Rhinolophus ferrumequinum: one gene and its partner. The protein of the gene in region 1 interacts with the protein of each later gene in a pairwise test. Links are inferred from orthologs where the notes say so. Each region holds a gene or a part of one and is shown on either strand. Other genes may lie near its edges. The genes, in order: GCC1 and CEP57.

Region 1 (10,964 bases):
CGTACCACTGTGGGGCGAAAGAAAGAAAGAGGTCAGTAGCAGGGAACAAAAAGGGAGGGGGGTGCCTTTACTTCCTGCCCCAGCCTGTGGCTCCCTTGGGAGAGGCGAGACCCTCACCGTACGGCTTCGCAAGTGCTGCAGGCCCAGCTTGTCGGTCAGCTCGCTCACTGGCATGGCGTTGGGCATGTCCTGCTTGTTGGCAAACACCAGCAGCACCGCATCCCGCAGCTCGTCCTCCTGCAGCTGAGAGAGGCCAAGGGAGTAGAATCTGGGGTCCTTTGGGGTCTCCAGACTCCCTCTTTCCCACTGTGTAGGGGAGCCCCCTTTTCCCACCTTCTAGCATATTTGTGGGAAAAATATAACATCGTGTAGTCGCCCGCTGAACACAGGACATAGTTATAAGTCAGCTGGAGACCATTTTGGCGTTAAGTCCAGAAAGGACCTTTTTCTAATTTGTTCTAGTACTTGTTCTAGTCAAAATGACAAAATTTCCCAATGGAAAAACAAGAAGGTACGATGATGTTTATCTCCACCGCATATAACTTCCCTCTCCCCAACTTCTCAGACTCAGATGTGAAGACATGAGAATTCAAGGAAAAAGTCAATCCTATACTTTTTACCTGACCCAAACTCAAAACAGGGTGAGATTCTCCATGTACCTGTGTCCACCAAGAGCACTGTACATTCAAGGCCCATGAGGCATTTCCTGACATTCACACCAGCACAGCGACCTCTGTTTCCAAGCTAAGGGCTCAGTTCCCAGGGCCCTGGGTGCTCACCATTTTCTGGAGTTCATCAGCAGATTCCTGGACCCGCTCTCGGTCATTACTGTCCACCACGAAGATGAGGCCCTGGGTGGGAAGGAAGGAAGGAGGAGCAATCACTCCCACCTGGGACATACCCGAGTCTGGCTTTCTCTCTTTAATTGTGTCTAAACCCTTCTCATCTAGTAAACTTCCACTAAGGCTCTGCAGACATCCTGGCACAAAGTGGTGACACCCTGCAAAGGATACATACAGCTTCTGCCCTCAGACAAGCAGTCTAGATAGAAGACATGCATGGGAACAGGGAGACATGTGATGAGAGCTAACTCAGCCTGGACCCAGAACCCTGCTTCTCAGAAGATGCCAAAGGTGGCTGAGTCTCAGAAGACGAAGGCCAGTTCTGAAGGATGAGTAGAGGCTTACCTTACAAAAGGGGGGTTAGGGAGGGGTAAGGCTTTTTCCTGGCCCAGGGGCCCAGCCTAGGCCAACAATTTTCCTAATGCTATCACCTCCTCCCCTGGGGTTGGGGAGACACCCTCGCCCCCCACCTGAGTGTTCTGGAAGTAGTGCCGCCACAGAGGTCGAATCTTGTCCTGGCCTCCCACGTCCCAGACTGTGAAACAGATGTTCTTGTATTCCACTGTTTCCACATTGAAGCCTGAAGATAATTGGAAAAAAATATGAGGAAAAAGTCGTGATTGGAAGGAACTCACTAAACTACAGTGCATTCAGCAGGGACACAAATCAGAAGGCAATGATCAAGGTCTAAGGGAAGAGAAGTCCAGAAGACTGGCAGTCAACTGGCAGGGCGGGGCTAGGTCACATCCACCCCTCCTCACACCATCCAGCAGGTAAAGATAATGTGACCCACTTCTCAGGTAGCTGTATCTGGTGTCAGGTCCCAGCACGGAGACGCAGAATGAGGAGGAGACCCTGAGCTGGCCGCCACGCTCCAGCTCCTCCCAATCTCACCTCCTCTGACTCACCTATGGTGGGGATGGTGGTGACAATCTCCCCCAACTTCAATTTGTACAGGATTGTGGTCTTGCCAGCTGCATCCAAGCCAACTGCAAAGAAGAGGGGCATAGGGATGGAGATGGGAGCGAGGGAGCCCCCTAGAGACCAGGGAAGGGGAGAGGCCAGGACAGCTGACGGTGACAGGGGCGGAGAGCCCGAGAGCTTCCAGGTGCGCGCTGTTATCTACCTTCCGGGCCTTAAGGGCAGTCCGGGTGATGAGCGCCAACTGCTGCCCCTGAAGCGGGCGAGGACTGGGGGTGTAAGGGGTACAGGAGGAGGACCGCGCTCCTTTTAAAAGTGGCCTCCAAGGGCGGAATCCTCCCTTCTTACCATCCGGGCTGGGGCGGAGGGAGCGTCACCCCACCCAGGCCCGCAGCTCCCGGTTTCAGGCCCCGGGAGCGGCGCTGCAGACTGTGACCCGCCCGAGAGCAGTGGCCCCAGGGGTTTAGAAGGTGGGTGACTCAGAGTCAGAAAGCGGGGTGAGCTGGCCTGGAGGGACGCGGGGGCGGGAGGGCTGCGCGGGGGCCGGCGCTCCCGTCCGGGCCGCGCGCTTGATCTGCCTCACCCATAAGGATCCGCATCTGCTTCTTCCCGAAGATCCGCGAAAAGAGCGCGGACACGGTGAGGCCCATGGCGGGGCCCGGGGAGGGGGCACGGACACGGACACCGGGTGCAGGCTGGAACCGGCCGGCCGCGGGGGGATGGGGCGCAGCAGCAGTGGGAGGTGCCGCCACCGCCTCCGCGCGTCGCGGCCCGCCCTACGTCACGGCGGGCCCGCCCCCATCGCGCTCCGCTCCTAGCTCCGCCCCCCGCCCCGCCCCGCGCCTCGGGCTCCGGGAGAAGCCGAAGCTGAGCGAATCTCCGCAGCCTGGCTGGGTCCCGCGCCGGTTTTAAAGAGGGAAAGGGCCAGGGTCTCCCCGTTTCTAGCACGCCTGGCACATCTGTGGCTGTTGAACCGGCAGTCAGAGGGGGGCGGAGGAAAGCCTTCAGTGCTCCGCAGCGGCCCCCACCCCCATGTTCCGTGGCCCGCCGCAGGGCTTTGGTTTGTTGCGTCCAGCTCACTCTGGTCTCCGGTTTAGTTCTTTCTAACTGGCAGCCTCGACTGTGTGCACCACCCTCTTAGAGGTGCGTAAGCTCCGTGCAGTCGTCTTAAGACCTCCCTTTTGCCCCCGCAGCTCCCAGTGAGGGAGGGGCTTGGAGCACAGTAGGTGGTTCAGGAACCGTAGACTCGCCCGGGTGTGCAAGGAAGCAAAGCTTTTCAGTCTGGACCCAGACAGCCTTTCTGAAGTCCTTCCTCTCTTTGCCACAGACCTGGCAGCCTGCATTATTAATGCACACCTATCCAGGATGTGAGGATGTGGTTGCCTCCTTAGGCCCGAAGAGCTTCTCCAGTAATTTCCCCATTCATCTTAGCGTTGGAGGGGAAAGAGCCAGATTGGAATTCATTTAAGTATCTTCTATGGCAAAAACTGGATCATGCCAGGCTTATGCTTAACAAATGCTTGTTAGGTTGAACTGGACTGGTAGGTTGCTCAGTGGAGCGTGGACAGGTGTTTTGCCTGTTCTGGAGCCAAGTTGCTTATGGACTGGACATGGTGAGGTGAGCTGGGAAGCAGAGAACCTTCATTCACTCAGTCAACAAATATTGAATGCCTACTGTATGCCATTGTTCCAGGCCTCCGTTCAAATCTCAGTTCTGCCTTTTTTTGAAGGCTTGCCTTCAACAATCCTCTCAAGCTGTCATTTTCTTATCTATAAAAAGAGACTGATATTTGTCCTATCTCATGAGGTTATGGTAAAGATTAAAATGATGAGATACTGTATCTGAATGTTTTGTATAAAACAGCTGGATGTTTCCTGGGCCACTAAGAAACTGGGTCTGAACAGAGCTCCAGGGCCTGCCCCATCCAGACCTGCAAGTCTGTAAAGAGAACAGACTTTGGGCATCAGGTATGAGTGCATGACTTTACTCTTCAATCACACTTGCATTCCTAGGATGACTTTTACAAGGTCGAAGAATACATTTAAAAGAGTCCCAATATAATAACACAACTAGCGATGAACAAGTCAGGTCAGTTCTACATCTTCAGCTCTTTTATTAGCCTCTTTCTTTCTATCACTGTTGTCACCGCCATATTTCAGTACCATCTCTTCTCCATGACTGCAACAGTCTCCTCACAGTTCTCCTGCCCCTTGCTATTGCCACCCTGGCATACAAGTCTTGATGACACCACTCTTGTGATTAAAATCCTTTAGTGTCTTCTTATCACCAAAGATAAAATCTAATGCCTTAATTTGGATCCCTACCTCCTAGGCCAGCCCCGTCTGTTGCCACCTCCTTCACATACCCTAAACTACTGCCTCGAGATGCTTCTCAATGCTTTCCAGGTGAGCCAGCCTCCCTGATGCCACAGGAGTCCTCGTAATCTTTTCCCTCTGCCTGGAATGCTTGTTTCCCTGATCTCTAGTTAGATGGGTAGTCACTACTCATCCTTCACATCCCAAAGTATTTTCTCTGAGAGCCTTCTCTGCCTCCCCTAGACAGGACTTCCTCCACATCACTTTGAATATACTTATGCATACCGGTACGATGGCAGGACTTGTGTTTGCATGCCTGGTTCTTCACTAGATGGGAACTCCGTGAGGGCAGGACCTTGTCTCATCATAGTGATCACCTGGCACAGCATTTGGTATGTTGAGAGTTGGATTGATCTGGATAGCATCCCTAAACTTAGCTGTGCGACCTTGGGCATGTTACTTACGTCTCTGTGCTTCATGTTTCCATATCTGTAAAACAGTGCTGACAATACCCACTGAGCAGAATTATTGTAATGACTACATACCAAAACTCTTGCAAAGCTCCTGGAATATAGTTGGCACTAAAGACCGACGTCCTGGCCATACGGATGCCCTTTACAAACATTTGTTGCATTAACTCAGCAGAACTCAGGAAGGGTGCTAATAATTATTATACTATACGCCTTCCAGGTGCCAAACACTGTACTAGCAAGGGTTGCAGTGTTCGTGGTTTGAATGAGAGTCTTAATTGTTGCTCTTTAGGGACAAAGGTACTGAGCTCCCAAATAGTGGAGACACGTCGCGAGCTGTTCAGTAAGGACTCAGTGCGACGTCGCCCCCTGTCCCTCGCTGATCGTAGCCTGAAGGCAAGCTCGGGTGAACCTCACGAAATCAACATCACTCGCGTCCTTAGCTTGGCTTGTGCTGCTCTTCCCGGGGAGAGAAAGCCTCGCCAGGTTCCCCACAGGCCGCGGCCGAGCACTCCCCGGCTGGGGTGGCCCCGCGCTCCTCTGGCCACTGGGGCGGAGCCTGCGGCGTCTTGCTGTCGTCACTTCCAGCGGACCCGGAAGCGCCCTTGTCGGGCCGCTGTAGTTCGGAAGTCGCGAAGGGGCTGCGCTCCGCTTAAACCCCTGGCGGACAGTGGGCCGAGGTCCCGCAGGGGCTGCTGTGGCCGGCGCGGGCGGGAGCGCGGGGCAGCTTCTGGGACAGGGCGGGGGCGCCCTGGCTGTGTGCTCCCCTCTTGCCCGCGTCACCCCGCCTCTAGGTGGGAACCGCCCCCGCCTTCCGTACCCCGGACCCGGTGGCGCTTCTGCCCGCTGCCCCGCCTCCCCGCGTCGGTCTCGGACAACTGGGAGGAGCGGGTGTGCGGCCGCGGGGACCACAACGCCCGCCAGCGTCCCCGCGACCGTCTCCCGGGCTGCCCCAACGCTGACGTGGAACCACCCGTTCTGAATCCTCATGGAGAAGTTTGGAATGAATTTCGGGGGTGGCCCCAGCAAAAAGGACCTGCTGGAGACCATTGAGACGCAGAAGAAGCAGCTCTTCCAGTACCAGGCACGTCTCAAGGATGTGGTTCGCGCCTATAAAAGCTTACTGAAAGAGAAAGAGGCGCTAGAGGCCAGCATCAAGGTGCTGTCAGTATCCCAAGAGGCGGATGTGGGCCTGGCAGATGGCCCGCCTCCAGGCCTCACCTGTCCTGACAACGTGGATGACCGATGCTCCACTCACAGCGAGGATAGCACTGGGACCGCCACTAGCTTGGATACTGTCGCCAGTCTCACTAGCACCAAGGGTGAGTTTGGGGTAGAAGATGACCGACTGGCCCGTGGACCACCACCTCCAAAGTCGGAAGAGGCCAGCGGGTCGGAGAGTGGTGTTAGCAGTAGCAGTGGGGATGGACCGTCTGCAGGTGGGGAGGTGGACAAACGATTGCACCAGCTGAAGACTCAGTTGGCTACTTTGACCAGCGCTTTGGCTACAGTCACCCAGGAGAAGTCCCGCATGGAAGCTTCTTACCTGGCTGACAAGAAGAAGATGAAACAGGACTTAGAGGATGCCAGTAAAAAGGCAGAGGAAGAGAGGGGCCGTCTGGAGGGAGAATTGAAGGGGCTGCAGGAGCAGATAGCGGAAACCAAAGCCCGACTTATCACACAGCAGCACGATCGGGCCCAGGAGCAGAGTGACCATGCCTTGATGCTGCGTGAGCTTCAGAAACTGCTGCAGGAGGAGAGGACCCAGCGCCAAGACTTGGAGCTTCGGTTGGAAGAGACCCGAGAAGCCCTGGCAGGGCGGGCATACGCAGCTGGTCAGATGGAAGGGTTTGAACTGCAGACCCGACAGCTGACCCGTGAGGTGGAGGAGCTCAAAGGTCAGCTGCAGGCTCTCCAGGATGAGAAGAATCAGCCAGACCCCCGGCTGCAGCAGCTGCAGGAAGAAGCTGCCTGCCTTAAGAGCCATTTCCAGGCTCAGTTGCAGCAGGAAATGAGGAAGGTAATTATCTCCATCTCCTTCAAAAAGTCATTTAAACCTGAAATGGGAAATATTTGTTTTTCCGCCTTTGATAGATCTCAGTGGCTGCACTGTCAATTTTTGATGCAAAATGTTTTATTGGTGAGTTGGAAATTCTGTTCTATGTGGTGTTGACAGTATCCACAGAGCATGTTTCCAACAGGATGTAGAGTTTCTAAGTGTAGGCTGGGTTGGAGCCAGACAGATCTAGCATTGGCATCTTACCCGCTGTGCTCTGCGAAGCAGTACTGTGGCAGACATGCAGTGAAAAGGTCGTGTGTCTGACTGGAGCTGTATGCCTATGTGTAGGTAGTGGTATATGCCTATAGGAAGGATGGCTGAAGGGGGAAAAGGGAGTTTTCTCAGAGGAAATGACCTTTTGTAACGGCTTTCAGCCAAGATTTTGCCAACTCTGGAAAGGTATTCTATTTTTATAGTGCCTCCATTCAGTGTGGAGAGAGGTCCAACTCAGTTTTGATCTTCCAGGAATATTGGAAGAGATGATTCCATAATAAGATTTGGGGAAACACATGATAAATGAAGAAAGCACTCTTTATACGTGAGTTTGGTGTATGATAGGAGACAATGGAAGTACGAAACCAGAATAGGAGCAGGTATGCAGAGGTTCTTAATTGTTTGGTATAACATGTGTCTGTGAGCAGAACGCAAGCAAGTTACAGGAACTTTTGTTAGCTCCCAGATCAACCAAAAAATCCCCAGTTCCCGTTCTTGCCAGGCCATCCCCATTCTGTGACTCTTTGGCTGTCCTCTCTGGTGCTCTCAAAGTTTGCCATAGCGCTTTGTGGCGTTTCTGGATGCATTTCCATCTGTTTCCTTGTTTTACAGGCAGCCCTCGCAGAGGATCAACGACGTCAGCAATCTCAGCTGGAAGAGCAGAGGGTGGCAGCCCTGGAGAACCAAATATCTGAGGTGTCGGAACTGCTGGGCACATATGAGAAAGCCAAGCAGAAGGACCAGCTGGCCATCCAGAAGCTGAAGGAGCGCATCATGCAGCTGGACCTGGAGAACAAGACGCTGGCTCTCGCAGCCTCCAGCCGGTCCCCTCTAGACAGCCATGGAGAGGAGTCCAGTCTGGACGTCAATGTCCTGAAGGACAAGATGGAGAAGCTGAAGAGGCTACTGCAGGTGGCGACCAGGAAAAGCCAGGTGACCTTGGATGTGGAGAAGCTCTGCGACCTGGAGATAATGCCCAGCTCTGAGGCCGCTGACGGGGAGAAGGCTACCGTGCTCTACTACCAACAGGAGCTGAAACAGCTGAAGGAAGAGTTTGAGAGGTACAAGGTGAGGGCCCAGGTCGTCCTCAAGAGCAAGAACAGCAAAGACGGCAACCTGGCCAAGGAGCTGGAGGAAGCCCAGGAACAGCTTGCAGAGCTCAAGGAGAAGTATATTTCCCTGCGTCTGTCCTGCGAGGAGCTTGAGCGCCAACACCAGCAGGAGGCCGAGGACTGGAAGCAGGAGCTGGCCCGGCTACAGCATCACCACCGGCAGGAGCTGGAGCGGAGCCAGCTGGAATTCAGGGACCGCACGCTGAAACTGGAGGAGGAACTGCACAGGCAGCGCGACCGGGCGCTGGCCGTGCTGGCCGAGAAGGACCTGGAGCTGGAGCAACTGCGCTCCGTGGCCTTGTCCTCCGGGCTGCCGGGACGCAGAAGCCCTGTGGGTGGCGGAGGTCCTGGGGACCCGGCCGAGGTCACTTCCTCGGAGAGCCTGACCCAAGCCCTGCAACTAGCTGCGGCCAACGAGCCTACTTTCTTCCTGTACGCTGAGCAGTTGGCCCGCAAGGAGGTGGAGATCACGTTGCTGAGGAAACAGAAACACAGGCTGGAGGTCGAGGTCCGTCAGCTGCAGGAGCGGCTGCTGGAGGAGGGCGAGCGGCATCGTGAGGAGGTCGGGGTCCTGCAGAGCCACATTGAAAAGAACTTCAGGGACCAGAGCCGGGAGGGAGCCAACCTCGAGTACCTCAAAAACATCATCTACCGCTTCCTGACCTTGCCCGACAGCCTGGGCCGCCAGCAGACACTCACAGCCATCCTGACTATCTTGCATTTCAGTCCCGAGGAGAAACAAGTGATCATGCGGCTCCCCCCCAGTGGGAGCTGGTGGCCTTCTGGCAAGAGATGATGCCGTTTTCACTGCCTGGAAATTTCTGTGCCTCTTCTGTGGGAAGGGACAGGTTCTGGTTTCTACTGCCCCTTCTCTTAATCTTTTCTTTCTTCACTGTGTTGAACTGGGAGGAGTCTTCAACGTAGGGTGGGATTTTCTGCCAAATGCCATTAACTCCGCTTTACCCCTTGGGCCCTAGAGACACTGGAAGAGTTGGGACAACATCTTCTGGTGGTGTGTGTGTGAGGGGGAGAGGCAGGAAGAGGTTGGGATTGAGAGGTGCAAAAGTTGGGGAAGTGGTGAAAATCTTTAAAAATAAGACTTCTCTGTTTTAATATTATGCTCCTAGTGCAGAGCTAGGAGTAAATGTGACTCCAAAGGGAGTTCAGTTAATTTCTAAACACACACAAGGACCAGCTGTTTTCTCCATCAGCACAATCTGAGTCTGGTCCACTGCTGCCCCAATTCTCTGGGGATACACATCCAGGCTGAAGAGGGACCAGGAAGTTTGAAATAGTGACAGCTTGCCCACTAGTCCAAAGGGCCAAGGAATAGGGAGTTCATCCTGGAGCTGGGAAGCTTGGTTTAGTTAGGGCTGGGCACGACTTAACCAGTCTGGACAAAATGCTCCACTTGTGACCATTGTAGAGAGAGCCCTGAGCACCAGTTCGATCTTAGGGATTTCCTGAGTGACCTGCTTTTCGTCTGGATAGAGTTACCATAGACCCTTCCTGCTTGTCCCTGCCTTAACCTGCCCGCCTGAGGTTGGCCTGAGATTGTGCGGGAATGACTTTGCTATCTTCAGTGTGGAACTTCCATTGCAAAAAAAATTCTAGCTTCTTACAGAGCGGAGTCTGGTCAGGAAGCTGTGGTCCTGCCTGGATGCAAGGAATTAGTGCAGAGATATACAGGGCAGAGGAGGAAGACCTACTGCAGAGGATTCCAGAAGATTGCTGTGAGTGAGCCTCATAGGAAAAGTGGCGGAAGTTCAGCCAAGGCTGGGCCAGGGTGCTTGCTGCTCCGTGGACAGCATTCTGGCTAAATGTCCACGTCCCTGCAGCCAGGGTATTCATGGATTACAGTTACCAGAGTATATTGCCCACTCCCTTGAGGAGGTAATTGAGTTTCAGCCCACAGTCCTCATCTTCCCCACTCGTGTTCCTATAACTTTTCCTCCTCCCACAGAGTTTCTTCCATTTGGTGTTGCGTAAGTAGATTCATTCTGCCCTTACGGAAAGGAGGACACAGACTTCTAAGTCAGGTTCAAACAGTATCTGTGCGTTCCTTGCCCCCATCTGCTCTTGCTGGTCTTTGGATCTTAAAGACCAATGCTTTGCCACTCACTGAACAAATACATTTTTTTCCTGTTATTTCATCATAGAGATCTGGTTTGTGAGGGTTTGGGATGCAGAAAACTTTTGATTAAATGTTCTGATTGGGAGGCTGGGCAACCTGGACTATCTACAAACAGTGAGTGGAATTAATGGAACAGAATTGATGTGCTCAAATGATAATAACATAAACCGTGGAATCATTAAACCTGAACAACTTGACCTGTGTGCTTTTGAATGGTACACACACACACACACACATACACACACACTCAATGTGAATATAAATGGTAAGTTCAAAGGATGGAAATAATATATTAATCCATGAGCTTGAATCTAGGGAGGAATGCCTCAATGCTTAAACAGTCTCAATTACAACACAAATTTTTTAGCCTACAGTTATGTGTGTATGTGTATGTTTGTGTGTAGGCAGCTACACTGGAAAAAGATGTCTCATGGATTTAGTGAGTGGGCTTGAAACTTCCATAATTACTTCTAAAACTTTAGAAGTAATCTTTTTATGAATGCTTTGCTCTGCTTCCAATCCGGATTCATGGTATCCTAGAAAAGTTTCTCAGTACATCATTAACATAAACTAAATCATCATCTCTTTATTTTCTTACCTGATCCCCTTACATATAAGATATGTTCTTGTTGTTCTGGGTGGTTTTGGACAGAATACAAAGATCCCTAATCACAGTTGCTTTCCTCGGGCTAACAATTCTTGTGCTTTTTACTTTTGAGAAGATTCCAAACAAGCAAAGAAGCAAGTCAATTTCTGATTAAGTATCGATTTACCTAAGGCTCTGAATGCTCCCCACTGAAACAAAAAGTCTTGGTCCCTCCCGACCATTAAGGTCACAGGTTCCTTGTCACTCCACTCCTTTCCCCCAAATACAATTTTCAGTTATTTGATTGCTTT
Region 2 (11,533 bases), on another chromosome or scaffold:
TGCCTCAAAAACACCCCATAATTTAATATGTGCTTGCCTACAATTTAGAATCAAATCTTTATTAGACAAAACCATTATATTCTTAAAAAAACTGCTGTGTTCCTAACTGTGGTAGACATCACTGTTTTGTAAATAAAATTATGTTTTACCTATCTAGAACTTTAAAGACTTATAGAGAAATTTGGGAAAAAACAGTGAGTTCTGAAAATCAGTATGTACCACGTTCCTGTGTTCTCCATTTTAGTTTGTGTTTTAATAGTCTTGATTTTGCCCTGAAGACTAAAACCACACTTAAAAATCTTTATACTATACACATAAAGGGTTAAGATATTACTAATATATAACTCCGCCACAAGTCACTTTAAAAAAACAAGTAGTTGTTTATATTTGAAGAGTTCCTGCCTATGTGTTTAAAATAAATAAAAATAAACAAAAAAAACAGCAAAGCACCACTAGTTAAAAAGATTATGTCTCACACTTTGAGAACCTTCAAGATTTAGAATGTTTCTATCACAGTCACAAATGATAGTGTTACAATCTGTTCTCAAAGATACTGAATGTATGTACATTTCCTAGTCACTGGTCTAATTTTAACTGAAGTAAATAAATGATACCTGAGGTAAATGTAATTTTTACAAGTAAAATCCTAGCAATTATTTAAACAAAAAAATGAGGTTTTTGATAATGGAAATCAATAAAGTATTTAATTAACTCTGATGTACTTATACTTTTACTTCATGATGTAATTTTATATTATAATTCCCTAAATGTCCTATCTTTATTATTATGGTATACAGCTAAATGCACTCCATGTGTGTAATTGTATACACTGAATAAAGTGGGGAAAAGCCCTCGACACCCTCGAAGCTGATCATGTACAATGGAAATTAGACTAGCACTCGCTAGGATTTACGAAACAGTTAAACCCCAATATATGGCATTAAAATGCCTGGGAGGATTTTAGAAAACATGATTTCAGAGTACTTACTTGTGATGACTACTGCTGTGACGATGGTGATGGTGATGGTGGTGGTGGTGATGTTTTGAATGATGCTGGTCTTTCTCAGTAAGAGATGAAGAAGATGAATTTGAATGTGAAGATCCGAGGCTCTTCCTTTGTTCTTTTGTCTTCTGTAAAACTCTCTTATATGACAAAGTACAGAGCCAGCATAGTAACTTTCCATCAACCTTTTAAAAGAAAATATTTGTATTAGATTAAATGTACCTGTAAACTGGCCATAGGTGAAACCAGGTAAGAGAAGTGCTTCTAGCTATATTTCTCTATCTCAAACACATACACAGTTGAAAAGTTGAAGTAAAACTAGACTTTTCTGAAACTTGGGAAAATGCTTGTTTGGAGGATCATAAAATTGATGAGGATGGTATGTGGACTTCCATTAGTTTTGAGGCATTTTTTAATTTGGAGAAACTTGTTTTATTATTTGGAGAATAAGCATAAATTGATATAGTTCAAAGAAATCTATGGAATCACTAGACTGAATTCTTAAATCACTGTGTAATTATTAAAATGACGGAGTATTTTCCACTACAGTAAAAACAGTTACTTTATAGAAAAAAGGAGAGCTCGGATGACATCTACAGTCAATTCTCATTATTTGCAGATTTCTCATTTCTAAATTCATCACCTACTTGCTAAAATTTATCTGTAACCCCCAAATCAACTTGCAGTGCTTTCGTGATCATTCATGCATATGTACAGAGCAGCAAAAAATTTGTGTAGCCAAATGGCAAACCCTCCCCGCTCAGGTCAAACAAGGTGATGCTCTGCTGCCCTCTTCCTTTATCTCTCATACCTTAAACAAATCCTCGTCATCTATTTAGTGCCATGTTTTTTGCATTTTTGTGCTTATCAGTGATTTCACTGTTTAAAATGGTCTCCAGGTGGATCGAAGTGATGTATATAGTGTTCCAAAGCACAAGAAGGCTGTGATGTACTTTATGTAGAAAATATGTGATAGATAAGCTTCCTTCAGGCATAGTTATACTGCTGTTTGCATTACAACTGTTAATCTATCAACGATATATATTAAGTAAGGTGTCTTTAAACAGAAACACACACAAAACAAGATGTATTAATCACCCTGTTGTGACCAAGTGGCACGAACCTAATCCTGTATTGCCCTTAGGAAGTATTCACTAATTCAGTATTTGCAGCAACTTTACAGAACATAACTACTACAAACGACGAGACTCAATTGTACATGTCACGGGGATAGAAAATGAAACTTCTTCACTAATTTCTATCTTCTAATTGTTCATACAAGTGCCGGGGGGACATTTCTTACAACTAGGATACATATGTTGCTGTGGGGGGATCTAGGGGAGCCCCTCAAAGAGAGTCATCCTGCAAATCAACTGAAACTGAGAGACAACAGGAGGTGAATGCTGATCAGCAGAGGAATACCACACGCATACACATTCTTTTTAAGTCATTGCAGGTAGAGGAAAACAAACAATGGTTTAAAATATGAGCCCCAAATCAAAAGGCACAAGAGTAACTTTGAATCATGTTAATGAGCTATAATTTTTTCACATCACCAACCTCAAGTAACCAGCAAAAGGGTAAGTAGCTGCAAGCATTTAAAAGTTAGCAATTCTCCCAAACCAACTGTTGGATAACCAAGTAGTACAGAATAGCCATCACAGAATGTTTTTTAAAATACAGTGATCTCAAATGATCAACATGAATCTATGTATGATGCAAACAAGGAGAAAATGCACTGTTCCTGCACTTTCATCTAACTACCAGCTTTCAGGGACCCAAAGAATACATCAAGTCTCAATAGTATATTAATTACGGTAACTTCCAATTTGTTTGCTGTTTTATTTCATTTCCAGAATATGCCATAACATAAATAAAGCATACCTTCCTTCTCCCTTCCTCCTTCCTATCAAAAGCGCATTGTTGCTTGCACTGTTCACAAGTCTGAGGTGGTCCATATTTTTTTTCTGAATTTGTACATCGCTGACACTTTGTACCAATAAACGCTGCAATTATGTTACAGTATTGACAAGGCTTAGGCTGAAAAACAAACACATGTTTTCTTTAACAGAGACATTTGAAAATATTAAAAATCTGCTATACAAAGTAGACTTCTGGGTTAATTAAGGAAATGAACAGGTAACAAAATTTGTGTCAAATCAAATCAGTAAGTCCTCACTTAAGGTCCTCAACAGGTTCTGCGACTAAACAAAACAACACGTAATGAAACCAATTTTACTGTAGGGTAACAAGAGGTAAGCTCCTATGACATCTCATCGTACGACATCGCATCAGTGTCATAACAAGAAACATTTGAGGACCTGCTGTATGTTGCCATAATCGATAAAATTTATCGTGTTTCTATTCGCTTAGTAAAATTTATCCTAGTCGTGAAACTTTTTGTTTCTGTATTGAATAGTTAAAAAAGGTCATGAGTAACATTTATGATTCACGTAGTATGTTATATAATGAAAAAGCTACATGTGAAAAGGGTCTTAAAAAATAAAAATAAAGGTATGCATTGATAGGAAATTTTCACATATGCAGTTATTTGGGGGAACAAACCTCTACTAACATGACATCCTACTTAGTTAACATCATTTATTCAAAAAACGTTTAACAACTTTTATCACATACAGGTACAGATGATACAAGGAATATATACTTTAGGTGAATTTTCAACTTTAAAAAATTGGCATAAGCACATTCAACATAAACTATAATAAACATACCTTGATTTTCTTTGACATTCAAAAGACAATTCAGGATTTCCTAGAGCCTTAAGGCCAGTACTTTGACTAAACATGACTGTAATACACCAGTAATGACTATAATACATATGTAAGAAAAGAATTTATACTAGAATAATGTCATGACTTTTGTGAATAAATGCCTGAATTGTGCTGCTATATAAAAATTATTGGAGTTTCTGAAGGGAGAAAAGTATGATTATGCAAATTTTATGGGTAAGGTGCTTCTCCATAACCAGTAGTTTGCTATATTTGAATCTTTACAGAATAAAATCACAAATTTTACACTTTCAATATGTATAAAACAGGCTCATGACTGTTTTTAAATGTTGTCATCTTCTCATCAGACTATCTACAGAAAATTTCTTTCCTGAAATATTTTGATATGTTGAAGTATTTAAGAACACAGCTATACATATTTTTTAAAGGTTCATCTTTGTGAAAATTATTAATTGACCAATAACAATACATGAAAACATATGACATACTTACAGTGCCAAACTGCTTCACATTTTGAGCACACTTCTTACAAATTGTATTAGTTTTGCTGAAAAGGAAATGATATATAGGTGATCAAATTTATGTGGCTTTCTCAAGTAATCAGAAAAACGCTCAACTAAAGCAGAGTACTATTTGCTTTAGTAGTATTTAAAACTTACTCTAATATAAACCAAAGATTTTTTAAAACTACAAACATAGGATCCTTTTAGGGTTGTTATGTTATTCAAATTTATTCCTCTTCCATTAAGATAAATGTTTCTATACATTTTTGTTGTATATTTTTTGGTAAACAAAAGAATCCTAATGTTTTCTATCTTGTTCCAAAACCTTCACACTTGCCACTACTTACGCACAGCATTACGTATCAGTGCTTACCTAACCTTGCACTGAGCCTTCTCCAGTAGACATCATAGTACTGCTATGGTGCCTACACCAACTTATGAAGAAATTGTTTTTCTCTTAGGCTACTCTCACGTATGTGCTCTAATTCTCTAACAGGAATCATCCTATTAAAAAAAAGTATGTGCTGTTCTTCCACTGGTAACAAGTTACGAGTAACCTTTCCTCAGGTCTATGTCAGCATTAATGTGCCTTTTTTTTTTTTTTTTACTTTAATGTGCTTAATAGTACCTACTTATGTCTGAAATGTCTGAATTTTTCATTAGCAAGGCTATACACTTTCCACACAATAATTTCTTCTTTTCTCATGTGCAAACTGAAGCCTAGGTCGAAAACAACCATTAATTTCTTTGTCAACTTTCTCTCTCCTATGTCTAAAAGGTTTACACCATAAAATTTAAGACGCTAAACCATTAAAAAACACACACTTTAATACAAGTATGGAGTTACAACCCCCAAGTATTCCCTACAGATAATACTTTGTCTTTAACAATCAAAAACTGTTCAGTATACAAACCTCTCTTGTTGAAATTCAGATCTGCAGTAAGTACATTTTACAATAGGATGCGCAATCCGACATTCCTGTAATAAGACAATGAATTAGTCAGTATCTATCTCAAAGTCCCAAATTTCACTTTTCTGGTAGAAAATTGTTACCTAACCTAGTCAAATGTCTAAAACATTAATAAAATCTGCCCCCCCAACGTAAACAATTGGGTGATTTATCATATAAGTGGCCAATTACAGCGTAATTCCGTAGAGGAGGCATAGGTGTCTTTGTCTTTATTACATGGGGGAGGATATGCTACAGATAAATTAAGAAAGCTGTCAAGGCCGATTTCAAGGATTGGTTAAATGTGAAACTACTTATTATTTTGCACCGTTGCTCCCAGACAGCATCCCGGCTTTAATGGGATGGGAGGAGCTCCAAATCATAGAGCATTCTGTTCCCAAGCCAGTCGCTTCGCTTTCCTGGGCAGGAAAGAAGGATGCCATCAGCTTTGCTGCTTCAGGTTCCTAGCAAGAAAGTGCAAAAACCGTCCCCTGCCTCCCGGTGGAAGGAGAGGACAGACCAGGCAAAAAACCCAGATGAAAACATCTCCACCCCAGGGTCTCTGCGGCATAGACAGGTGGCTGCCTCACTCAGCCCCACCCCTGAGACCCCCGAATGTTGCTGGGGCCCGGCCCACTCCTGGGCCTCCAGGAAGAGGGCAGGATTCTGTCTTCTCTCAGGGGCCTTTCCCAGCTGATGCCCAGGTCATCCAATAAAGGGATCCCCCGGTGAGGGGGCGAGGGCTCCAAACCCCCGGCGCCGGCAAAGAGAGCGAGACTGCAGTGCAGCGGGCACCCAGCTCCCTCAGGCTATGGCCGAGGAAACCCCGCCCGCCCGCCGCCCAGCGCCCACGGACCTTGCAGAGCTGCTGTCCCTGGGAGAGCTCCTCGAAGGGATAGCGCTGGGTACATTTGGTGCAGGCGTACAGGGCCGAGGCCGCCATCCTGCTCCTCAGTCTCCTCCTCCACCGCCGCCCGCTCCGAGGCGGGGCCCTACGGAGAACTCGGGCGCCGCCGCCGCCGCCGCCGCCGCCGCCCGGGCCGCGGGCTCCTCCTCCTCCCCCTCCCCCTGCCGCGCGCCCACCAGGGCCTTGCCGCGAGAGCCCAAGGCCCTGTGGACGCCGCCGTCTCCCTCCGCCTCCACTTCCGCCCCAGCCCACCCAGTGACGCCGTCCCAGCCGCTCCCGCTTAGGCCCCGATAGCGGCGGAGGGAGACGAAGCGGGTAGTTCGCTGCAGTTCAGCTGCGCGGCAGCGGATCCGCTTCCTTCTCGGCCTCCCCCATTCCTGATTAGCTGGGGAGGTTACGCGTCACTCGGACGCTCCTCCCAACCCCTAACCCCGGCGACGCAGGGAGCTCCCACAAAGGGAGGAAGTCGCCGGCCAATAACAGCCCGCCGCTCTCAGCGCGCGAAAGCCGCTTTAAACTCGCCCCGCCCAAAGGTCTGGGTCACGGCTATTTCTAGTAGCCGGTGTCAGGTCTGCGTGAGCGTTTCCCAATCCAATTGGGTTAAGTGTTCGCGAAGACTTACTCTCTGCCTCAACTGCTTTTTCACTTGATTTGTATTGGACCAAATCATTCAGCCCCCCTTCCTCCCCCATTCTACCTGCTACAGATCAAAAGGTAGGTACTTCACCTGGAGAGGCGTCCCCGAGTCAAGCTCACGCTCTCTTTGGCGTTTGGTCCCAGGGAACTGATCCAGGGAGTGTTTGAATTTCGCATTCGCTTTAATTCTACGTCAACCATTCGATTCAATTACCCCTAGAGACCAAAACAACCCCTCGCCCACGTTTCCGCCCGCAGAACACCCGCCCCTCCGTAGAGTGTCCTCTAAGCTGTCTAGTAGCCCCCAGCGTTACCAGCCTCCGCGATCGCGGCTACGCGCTACCTTGTGACGTCACCGAGGGACAAGACGGATTCGCTCCTACTACCGGAAGACGTCCGCTTTCTTGATTGGCTATTCAGAACGTCCATTAGGACGTGTCGCCCTGTCCGTGTACGCTCTGAGCGGGGCGGGAGGCAGGGCGTCCCTGCGTGGGAGTGTGGCGGGGGTTTCTAGACCTTGCACCAGCATCGCAGCCCCTTCCATCAGGGGCTCGGCTAAGGGTCGCCCCTGGTGGGCGGCTGTCGAATCTGGAAGAAGAGCACGAGAACCCAGACCGCCCGGGGCTGCGGAGGTGTGCTGGGCAAGAAGGAAGATGGCGGCAGCGTCGGTGTCTGCGACTTCAGGTTCTCAGTTCTTGGTAAGAAGCGGTTGACATTCGAATAGGCCCAGGTGGGTCCTGGCGCCTCTCTGCGTTTTCTCACCCTTCAGAGCGCTCTCAGCGCAGCGTCTCATCCCATCCTGGGAAACGGCGGGGGGCGCCTAGAGCGCCCCGTGCTGCCCTGGCGTCCACTGCTCCTCTGTGGAGGTTGCAGCCTTCTGTTGAAACAGGCCTGGCCCATCTTTCACTCACATATCCCTTGCACCTTTCGGCCTAGCAGCCCCTGTTACCGAACATTGCCAGGACCCGCTGGGATGACTGTACCCACACCCTGAGTAGCGAAAACATTGCTCCTTTGGTCACGTGGGTGTAACGGCCCTTCTTGGAATCTCGCCGAGACCAGGTTGGAGCGCTGGTCGGCTTCGTTGGCAGCTGTTGAATAGTTTGCAGTCTCCAGTGCATATTAGTCCTGCTTAAGCTGATTATTGTGCCTCCTCCCACCCTGCCATTAACGTTGTTCTGTGCTTACTCTACCCAGAGCGCTTGCTTCCCACCTCCCACCTTAGTTAGGACTGCAACATGTAAATACCCTTTTAGGGAAGCAGGGGGCAGCAGATCTTAATTGGTTTTGCCTCCAAAAAGGGTCACTAACCAGGTAAGTCACTAATATTTGTCGAATTGGAATGTCGAACACTTAGCGTTTTGGTTACCGCAGCACTGGGAATACTGTAGATTGGCAGTAAATGTGAGGAAGCCCGACTTTGGAGCCCTTATCTCTTGATTAGTAAATGTTAAGTGCCTGGCATGCTTTTAAGGCTCCAAGATTACACAGATGAATAGGATGGAGTCCCTGCTTGAAAGGGCAACGCATTGACGGGAAACTACACGCAATTATATTTTTACACAGTACAGGTTGATAAATGCTACCATACTGGAATAACCTAGGCGAGAGTGATTAGCAGTGCTTGGGTATGCTAGGGACGGTTTCCTAGAAGGGAAGATGGAGCTAGCTGGATGGTGAAGGAATTGTAAATGCTTGTTACAAGAACAGAAAAGGAAAGAACACCGCAGGCATATGGCGTATGTGCCAAGACAGTAGGTAAACTTGAAAAAATTTGGGAGGAGTAGAGGTAGTATGGGAGTGGGGTTGTATTAGATGAATTGTAAAAGTAGGTAAAAGATGGGAGAAAAGGATAGTGAAAGAAGAAGCAGGAGGCTATCAGGGTAAGTTATATCATAGAAGCTAATGGGGCAGTTTAGGGAACATTAAGAGAGAGCAGAGTCACCTTGATAAAGATACACTTTTCTTCAGTTTCAGTTTTTGGTGGCTATTATGAGGATTTGTGATAATAGGCTAGAAATAACCTTCAGGGTTTCAGCAGAAAGGGGGTAACACGTTTGCAGAGAAGTCAGGAAAGGTTGAGAAAGTATGAAGCACATGGAGTTCAATCAGGAAATAGACTGGTAAAAGTAGATAAAAGAGGAACCATTAGACTGTTAGGAGCAAGTGTCATAAGTAGATGAGATTATATAAGTCTTGATTAATTCAACTTAATTGGGAGAAGAGGGCTTTTCACTGCCCTCAAAATGTAGCACTGGGAGACTGATCAAGGAATTCTCTTATACAGGCATACGTCAGAGATATTGCTGGTTTGGTTCCAGACCATGGCAATGAAGCAAGTAGTAACCTTTTTGCTGGGGGAGGGTCTTGCTTTCAGTTTGCGAAAAATAACGCAGCATCGATGAAGTGCAATAAAGTGAAGCACAAGAAAATGAGGTATGCCTGTAAATGTTGAATTGTACTGCACTCTGCTGAGACTATCGAGCTGAGCAGTGGTACTGAGATGTGGTCAGTCCTTACGCAGTCTTTAAGGTAACCTGGTCAGAAATCCTACAATGGGTGTAATAGGAAAGCATACATATTTTTATATATTAAACTCAGCTTTAAGTGGATTCTAAATGTCAAGAATACATTAAGATTATCTAGGACCCTTTACAAATGAAAGCATAACTAACCTTCTTAATTAACTTGACCTGCTACATCAAAATATCTAATTTGTAAGTCACTATGTCTCAAAACAAAAATGACTAAATTTAGTTTATCAGTGTATAAGAAATAGCCCTGCTTAGACACTGTCTTGTGAGAAACAAGGCTGGCATTTCCAACAGAATTTACAAAGCACTTTGGCTTAATAAACAGATGACCATAAAATATAACACAAAGAGCTTTTAAAACTACAACATGAACTCAGAAGGGTATTCATATTCAGATTTTAAGGTTGTGAACATTAACATTTCATACTTACTCAACTTTAATAAGTCCAGCATGGAGCTAGCTATAGTAAATAGAGATACTTTTACCAGGCAAGGATTTTTTAACAGGTAGATTCAAAGTAACAGACTTCAGAGAGCAGCTACCATATAAACGTCAATTATGAACAACATGGAAATAGGCGATACATTTGAATTGTGCTTTTAAGTAGTCTTTCACTGCAAGAGTAGCAACAGTGGGTAACAGTGACATTTGTTGAGTGATCGGTATGTAGCAACTGATTAGTGGAGAGTAGCAGGAAAACAAAGATTGGGCATAAAGATATTAAACAGAAGTACAGGCAGCATAGTCTAGCAAACAGAAGAATGTCTTTTCTGTCAGTCCTTTTTTATTTTCCTAGTAACCATGATCAACACCTGGGACTCTTTGGACTTAATAAGCTAATCTTCTAATTGGTCTCCCTGGCTTTTTAGCCAAGCCCTTTAATCAACCTGTTCTTTATTTCTCTTTAAAATGTTTTATGAATATTTCATAGAGTTTATAACATTAAACCATTGAACATATAAAAATTTATTTTTAATAATACAATGACTTACTTTCATGCCCCTGTTTGCACCTTGCTTTCACACACACCACCATACATTTTGAGATTATAATAATGCATAATATTAATACTTATTAGTACTACCTGGCAGTCATTTTAAATACTTATCATATATTGACTCATTTAATCCTCAATAATTTTATGAGGTTGGCATTAGCATTTCCATATTTGAATGAGCAAAATGAGGCACAGAAAGGTTAAGTCAAAGCTGCTTTTTTTTTTTTTTTTTTTTAAGATTTTTTATTGGGGAAAGGGAACAGGACTTTTTTGGGGAACAGTGTACTTCCAGGACTTTTTTTTCCCCCAAGTCAAGTTGTTGTCCTTTCAATCTTAGTTGTGGAGGGTGCCGTTCAGCTTCAAGTTGTTGTCCTTTCAGTCTTAGTTGTGGAGGGCGCAGTTCAGCTCCAGGTCCAGTTGCCAGTTGCTAGTTTCAGGGGGCACAGCCCACCATCCCTTCTGGGACTCGAGGGATCGAACCGGCAACCTTGTGGTTGAGAGGATGTGCTCCAACCAACTGATCCATCCGGGTGTTCAGCGACAGCTCAGCTCAAGGTGCCGTGTTCAATCTTAGTTGCAGGGGGTGCTGCCCACCATCCCTTGCGGGACTCGAGGAATTGAACTGACAACCTTGTGGTTGAGAGCCTACTGGCCCATGTGGGAATCGAACCGGCAGCCTTCGGAGTTAGGAACATGGAGCTCCAACTGCCTGAGCCATCGGGTCGGCCCCAAAGTTACTTTTATATTTCTGTTACCCATGAATGAATGTCCAGCCTATAGAAAAGTTTTATAAGAGTTTATTTGAGCCAAAATTTTGAGGACATGTCTGGAAGCAAAATCTCAATGGATTGAGATCGTGCTCCAGAGAATGGCAGTTTTGCAGCTTATCCCGTACACTAGAATCAAAGGAGATGTAAGGACGGTTACATGAAATCCATTGGTTGTAGATTAAGGAGGTGGGAGGCAGCAAAGCAGGGAAATCTCTAGGATTGAATAAAAAACAAAATAGAGAAATATACTTTTACATTGGTAGATACAGGATAAAAATTAACATTTACAGTACATAGAGATGGTTTGCTGGGAACAAGGTAATGCGGGGTTCTGTGGTCTTATGATCTGGTCGTCTTGTGCTGTGGTGCCTCTTCCTGTGCCTTGAGGGGTCGAGGAAAAAAATTACTCTGACATTTCAAAGGTGTATTATCCTAGATGCATAAGAACAGTGGACAGAATTCACTTAAGATAATGATTGACC

What was found.
Region 2: the proteins of GCC1 (region 1) and CEP57 interact in binary tests that used the Homo sapiens proteins (3 or more experiments, as listed by UniProt). The two-hybrid records come from large-scale screens. The link is inferred for Rhinolophus ferrumequinum from reciprocal best matches to the Homo sapiens genes GCC1 and CEP57.

The regions. Positions count from the first base shown.
Region 1 is NC_046309.1:18,180,247-18,191,210, forward strand, and holds GCC1 (GRIP and coiled-coil domain-containing protein 1), read left to right. Parts: upstream 1-5,148; 5' UTR 5,149-5,537; coding exon 5,538-6,569; intron 6,570-7,433; coding exon 7,434-8,729; 3' UTR 8,730-10,256; downstream 10,257-10,964. Other genes in the region: ARF5 (ADP-ribosylation factor 5), read right to left, coding at 1-7, 118-243, 780-851, 1,313-1,422, 1,751-1,831, 2,347-2,413. UniProt on the Homo sapiens protein: Probably involved in maintaining Golgi structure.
Region 2 is NC_046294.1:66,443,786-66,455,318, forward strand, and holds the start of CEP57 (centrosomal protein of 57 kDa), read left to right. Parts: upstream 1-7,197; 5' UTR 7,198-7,402; coding exon 7,403-7,447; exon of another isoform or gene 7,448-7,479; intron 7,480-11,533. Other genes in the region: protein FAM76B, read right to left, coding at 989-1,188, 2,888-3,043, 4,246-4,300, 5,171-5,235, 6,063-6,149. UniProt on the Homo sapiens protein: Centrosomal protein which may be required for microtubule attachment to centrosomes. May act by forming ring-like structures around microtubules. Mediates nuclear translocation and mitogenic activity of the internalized growth factor FGF2, but that of FGF1.